Regions from separate parts of the Mus musculus genome. Here region 2 is reported to be linked to region 1. The links are microRNA targets in miRTarBase. Many come from high-throughput screens and were not tested one by one. Region 1 holds a microRNA gene; the other region holds the end of a gene's coding sequence.
What was found. Region 1 holds the annotated microRNA mmu-miR-880-5p (UACUCAGAUUGAUAUGAGUCA, at 1,129-1,149, shown strand). A microRNA usually pairs through its seed, bases 2 to 8, with sites in the 3' UTR of a target mRNA and lowers its output. Matches are read on the target gene's strand: a 7mer-m8 pairs with bases 2 to 8, a 7mer-A1 pairs with bases 2 to 7 and ends in A, and an 8mer does both.

Region 2: miRTarBase lists Lypd1 as a target of mmu-miR-880-5p. Seed matches in the 3' UTR shown: 7mer-A1 at 2,360-2,366 and 7mer-A1 at 3,341-3,347.

What each region holds. Positions count from the first base shown.
Region 1 is chrX:66,798,307-66,801,725 of GRCm38, reverse strand. Mir880 (microRNA 880) reads left to right here and starts at 1,119; the gene lies at 1,119-1,196. It overlaps Mir463 (microRNA 463), which reads left to right and starts at 2,429; the gene lies at 2,429-2,503. Mir878 (microRNA 878) reads left to right here and starts at 141; the gene lies at 141-218.
Region 2 is chr1:125,870,716-125,874,134 of GRCm38, reverse strand. It overlaps Lypd1 (Ly6/Plaur domain containing 1), which reads left to right. Exons shown (of 3, transcript NM_145100.4): 3 at 564-3,419. The coding sequence ends at 799. Gpr39 (G protein-coupled receptor 39) reads right to left here. Exons shown (of 2, transcript NM_027677.2): 2 at 273-1,765. The coding sequence ends at 1,251. Among named protein-coding and RNA genes, the nearest start is that of Gm41943, 30 kb to the right of the region's middle.

The DNA.
Region 1 (3,419 bases):
TGATTAATTATTCTCAAAAGTAGATGGACAAATTATGTCAAAGGATAGTTATCATGTTTTTTTTTAATTTAGTCTCTGATAAAAGCTGAAGTGTATGATAGAGGCTTCTTATACAGCAAGTTAATGAAAAGAGTGTTGTGTGCAATGCTTTATCTAGTTGGATGTCAAGACACGTGAAACTTAAGTGCATGACACCACACTGGGTAGAGGAGGGCTCACAGTGTTCCTCATTTGTTGTGGGCTTGGGTGGTCACAGTGCTGATAAATGAATGCTGCTGTTAGTTTGGCTGCACAGAAATAGAACCATGCATATTGTGTTTCTAGGTGTATTTATATTGTTACCTTTACATAAGGAATGTTGTGTTAGTGTCAGAAAGAATCTCTTTAAGTCAGACAAGAAAAAATAAAGTACATTAACACAGTTCCCAGTACATGAATACATTTATAAAACCTCCACTCTTTATTTTGACAGTCATTTCCCTTAGAAGAAGGCAAGTAAAAGGATTTATGGTATGAGAAACACATACTAAAGGTGTTTGATAATATGATTTTAAGCCTAAATTACAGAAGAGTTCAAACATTGTGGTTTGATGACTATGTAATAAAATGGGCAGGAGATGAAGGAAGCTTTTGTGACAGTGTCTACTTAAATACAATTATGCTCATTTTTATATTAACATTGGTACTGATGAGATGAAGTCCTTATGACCATGGATTTTCTTAAAGGAAGGTTCAGCAAGTAACTCATATAATGGCCTCTGTATGTAACCAAGGTAACTTGAAGTTCCTATTTATAGAGGAATTTTTGATATCTGATGGCTTAAATTCTCTTTAACATTCTTTGGACAGTCTGTTCTTAATCTTATGAACCTCATGTTAAATAATGTAAAGAAAGGTGCTAACATAAGGTACTTTTATTAGTGCATACATGTATAAAGTTAAATACTATAGATCATAGAATATGAAGAGTTGTGAAAGATAAAGTGCAGTATAGTCCTTTTAAACCTATGAATAAATAAGGTATTGTTGATGTATCTAACTATATTTATATAATTGCTGGAATATACTGAAGATTGTGGGATCAAGCTGAGACACAGGACATCACTGAACAAACTGTGTGCACTGCAATACTCAGATTGATATGAGTCACTTCCTATTGCATGTTACTCCATCCTCTCTGAGTAGAGTAAGGCACACCAATCACCAGTTTTGGTACCTGTAAATGTCTCATGTATGGATATGGTGAGGTTGATACATGCATGCATATTAGATGTGTTTTCCAGTCTTCAGCTTCAATGTATTACACTTCACCTTAGATAGCTTGGATGAGTGAACAGACTACAGAAGGATAAAAAATGATCTTTTTGGGAAATACTACGGTTCAGAGAAAATGGCAGTCAGCTAACTTTCATGCTAGTGAAAACCATTCTTCTGAAGCTGGAGGAATGTTAAAAAGATAGGTTCTTGATGGAATCCATGATGATGCATGAACAAATTAGACTAGCATTTAGTTATCATGTGAGTTGGTAACTTGATGCAAGCTAAAGATAAAAAGGGGATTGTAGAGGCTAGATTTCAACATTTCAACATTTACATATAATGTATGCTGCTTTAGCTAATTTTCTGTGCACCCTGGGAAACATAAAAGATGATATCCCATATTGGGTAAGGCAATATTTAATGAAGATTTCATTTGTGTACTCACCTTATGAATATATACAAGTATGTAAGCATAAAAGTGCAAAACATTTAGTTTATTCTTCATATGAATTAATAAAATGAATTTAATTTTACAGATACAGTGTTGGCAATCATCTACGCAAACTACAGGTCACTGTATCTACCATATATTGTTCTTATATGGATATTTAAAACAGAGTTGTGATACTCATTTCTTCCCTACTCCCTCACTTATCCTAGAATCTTACCTTGCTCCACAGTTAAACAATGCCCCCCCCCATTAGTCTCCTTTCCTCTTCCATACCACCTGTGTTTTGTTACCCTTTTAGTAAGCTTTTCTCACAACTCTCTACCCAGTGGCCTTTTTCTATTTTTATGGGTTCTGTAGTTATTCCTTGCTGAACACACAAATCTAATAATTATTTTAATACTTGCATGTTACAGGAGGAAGAAAAATAACTTCAACGAGAAATTCTAACTTATATAAGTGAAATTACAGTCCCCCGTATTGTCTTGGTAGAGAATACCATTAATTGAAACAGAAGACACATCAGAGGATATTCTCTTGGAGGAATTTTTGGTGACAATTTGTAGATTGTGTGTGTGTGTGTACATATATGTATATATATTATACACAAAGTATGTCAAGTTTTAGCAACAATGTACAATTGGTACTTTGCTAAAAGATAAAGAGGATCATGGAAGCTACATTTGCAACATTTTTATATTAAAGGTATGATGTACCCTGCTTTACCTAATTTGTTGTCCATCATGTAAAACATAAATGATGATAGACACCATATAAGGTAGAGGAAGGTTCACTATGTTCATCACCTGGAACATCATTGTGGTATAGAAGCATTAACCCTTGTTAGAGCTTGCTGGCCTTAATTTGGCATTTGTATCTAAAGGACCAAAGTTTAGTAAGGTGCATTTATTCTTTTTTTTCCCATTTTTTATTAGGTATTTAGCTCATTTACATTTCCAATGCTATACCAAAAGTCCCCCATACCCACCCATCCCCACTCCCCTACCCACCCACTCCCCCTTTTTGGCCCTGGCGTTCCCCTGTACTGGGGCATATAAAGTTTGCAAGTCCAATGGGCCTCTCTTTCCAGTGATGGCTGACTAGGCCATCTTTTGATACATATGCAGCTAGAGTCAAGAGCTCCGGGGTACTGGTTAGTTCATAATGTTGTTCCACCTATAGGGTTGCAGATCCCTTTAGCTCCTTGGGTACTTTCTCTAGCTCCTCCATTGGGAGCCCTGTGATCCATCCATTAGCTGACTGTGAGCATCCACTTCTGTGTTTGCTAGGCCCTGGCATAGTCTCACAAGAGACAGCTACATCTGGGTCCTTTCAATAAAATCTTGCTAGTGTATGCAATGGTGTCAGCGTTTGGATGCTGATTATGGGGTGGATCCCTGGATATGGCAGTCTCTACATGGTCCATCCTTTCATCTCAGCTCCAAACTTTGTCTCTGTAACTCCTTCCATGGGTGTTTTGTTCCCAATTCTAAGGAGGGGCATAGTGTCCACACTTCAGTCTTCATTCTTCTTGAGTTTCATGTGTCATTCTTCTTGAGTTTCATGTGGCATTTATTCTTTAATGTTAACCTTGCAGACACATCAAGATTTATAAACATTCAGATACAACAATCATTACATGTTTTTAAATTACAGATTTAGTTCAGTATATTTTTAAATTATAATTTAATTATAATATTTATACCTCTTA
Region 2 (3,419 bases), not on the chromosome of region 1:
TGATCCTTAGAACCCATATTAAAAAGCTGAGTGTAGGGGCAGGAGAGATGGTTACAAGGATGCAGAGGACTTGAGTTTAGCTCCCAACACCTCCTTAAGACAGCTCACAACTGCCTGTAACTCCAATTCCAAACGAATCCAATTCCCTCTTCTGGAATCTGAGGATACTGCACTCACATATACACATACATTGCATACATGAACATATATACATACATTGCATGTATGAACATATACACATGCATTGCACACACAGAGTGGTGAGGGGAGACTTTGATTTTAATAGCTCTTTATTCATGGACACCAGCAACTAAAATCTCTGTTGGAACAACATTCACCATAAGTTCTGTGTGTTTGGTGACCTCCATGCCCACCCAAAAGAACTCCCAGACTCCAATAAGTCTGAGAATTCTTATCCCCTGAACCATCTCCCAGATCAGGAGATAAGAGCCCTTTCTGTGGGAGGAGTTAAGGAAAGGTTATGCACTCAGATTTGGGCACAAAGAGATAGCTGGACTGCAGATCACATATGCTAACCCCACTTCTCTGGGCCTGTGTTATAGGGATCATGTACCGGAAGTCGTGTGCATCGTCAGCAGCCTGTCTCATTGCTTCAGCTGGGTACCAGTCCTTCTGTTCCCCTGGGAAACTGAACTCCGTGTGCATCAGCTGCTGCAACACCCCTCTTTGCAATGGGCCGAGGCCCAAGAAGAGAGGCAGCTCTGCCTCGGCCATCAGGCCAGGGCTTCTCACCACTCTCCTGTTCTTCCACTTAGCCCTCTGCTTGGCACACTGCTGAAGCTAAAGGAGATGCCAACCCCTGCTGCCTCACCTGTCTGGCCCTTCGTCTCTCACCTTCCCGAGTCTCTTCTGGGTGTCCTTTTATTCTGGGTAGACAAGGGAGTCTTTTTGTTCCCTCCTTTCAAGTAACGCAAGATTGCCGTGCACAAATACTTTTGTAAGCTCTGAACCAATTCATTCTGAATTTCTGTGTGTAGTTGAAGAAAAAAGCATGGAGCAGAAAGTCCAGACCCTCCCATCCCAATCTGGTTAACCACCGCCAAGGCTAGCCTGGAAGAACCAGCCCTTAGAAGTCATTGAGATACGCATCTGCCTTTCCCAAAGCCTTGAGCTTCCATTCTGTCCCAGTAGGAGTCACAGTCTATTCAGAGACTGCTGCTGCGTGAAGGTAACTTTGCTTTTGCGGGAGGGGAGAGCCAGTTTCGGCTCAAGGCTTCTGAACTTGCCATTCATACTTCCTGCTCCTGTAAACTATTTTCTGGGGTGGACCCAGCTGGTTTGGTCTCTGAGCCAGTCTGTGGTGACTCAGGACTCAAGGGCTGGGGCTTAGCCTCTCCAGGCTTGGCCTCAGTCTGAAAAGTGCTTAAGAAAACCTTGTTAGTTCTCCTGGAGGAAGAGTTACTGCGCCGGGAGGCTAGGAAGATGAGGGGGCTGCGGGCTGAGCTGGTGCTGTCCTTGGTGGAGATGAAGCGGGCACGCTGGCGTTTCTCTTGGTTGGCATGCTGCAGAGTCAGGCGGCAGCAGAGCACCTGCCAGAACACCTTCCGGAACTGCTGAGAGGACACGTTGTAGAGGAGAGGGTTGACCACAGAGCTGAGGTAGAAGAAGGTATCAGAGAAGGGCAGGAGGATCATGTATGCCCTGAAGTACGTTCTGGTCCAGTCATGTTTGGGTTTTGCTGCAGCCATGATCCGTCGGATCTGATTGGGCATCCAACACACGGCCAACGTCACCACAATCAGTCCTGGCAGGCAAGAACAGGAGAGAAAAGGAGACGGGGAGAGAAACAGCATGAGAACAAAAATAAATAAATAAAAACCCATAAAATATTAAGCCCCTTGGTTCTGTTGCTTACTGGCCGAGAAACGGTACCAATCTTTCAGCTCTGTGCTTGTCGGCTTCTTTTTGCCACTGGCAAAGGAGAATTTAATGCTGCTTCAAGCTCAGGGGACTTGGCTATGTTAAAAAGCGTTAAATGCTTTCGACAGTGTATTTATACTTACGGCTGCCTGTTAATTTTCAAAATGTTTTCATTGTTGCTCGTGTATCCAGAAAATATCTCACGTTGGCCATAACCCTGGTTTTGTCTTTTTGTTTCTAGATGAGCCCATAAGGTATAGCCATAGTAGAGGGAAACGGTAGCTGTTTTTATAAACGACTACTGAACTATGTGAGAAGACACAGTGATATTGTGAAGTCAAATGGAAGTTGTTTCATTTTGCCTAAACAAATACATTTTGTGATGCTGATTTTGCATCCAGTTTCAGGAGAAGTAAAATCAGGGACAGGTAGTCATGGAGAAGAGGTACTACTAAGCCCTGCCCCTGTGCGTGAGGCACTGAGTATCCAGACATCCATATGAATGCCCATTACATTCTGGCTTACATAAACACGGCTACTTCTAAAGTATGACAAATGAAATCACAGTACAGTGTGTGTGTGTGTGTGTGTGTGTGTGTGTGTGTGTGTGTGTGTGTAGAAAGTAGACGATATATAAATGTATGTCCCAAAAGGTATACAACCTCCATCTATATCAGCATCTCTGCTTCTTTTCAAACACTTTTGGAAGCCCCTTCCACCTTAACTTAGGAAAACAAATTGTCCCCAAACACCAAAATCTCAAAAACTCATGCCATGTACAGACAGGGGCACACCCTCCGCTTTTGTAGCACTGAGCTGCAGTGTGACTGGCCAGGAATGATGAGGCCCCACAGAAGCAGTGCTGCTCAGCCCCCACTGAGAATGGGGCATTAGCTGACTGGACACTCATTTGCATACCCGGAGCTTACATTCTGGCTCCCACTATCACATCGAATCTATAGTCTGACAAGCACCTAAAATTCACAAGACTCTGACTCTTTATTGATAAAGCAAAGAAACAGGCCTGGGGAACCTTTAGGATGTTACTTACTCCTTTTTATGAGAAGCTGAGCATCATAGCAAATGTTCCCATGAGAGGGCTGATGTTATTTAAAGCAAGAATTTGGTAGCACTGAAGAGATAGCTCAGCAGTTAAGATGTAAGTTCTGTTCCCAGCACACATCAGGTGGCTCACAATGGCCTGTCACTCCAGATGCTGGGGTGGGGGATCTCTCAGCACCTGCACTTACATGCATATCCCTCCCCATACATACATAATAAGCATATATATATATGTATGTGTATATATATATATGTATGTATATATGTATGTATATATGTATGTATATATATTTGCATTTTACAAGTACCTCTTCCCACTCTGAGCCCAATTTGCTAGGAAACTACTGGGAAATAAGAACAGGGTCCCTGCTTCCTGCTTAGGGTGTGTGGTAAATAGCTGAGTAATTAAGGACCCAGGGCAAGCAGACATGTCTATGAGCCCAAGGTTAGCCCAAGTATCCCTTGACAGTACATAA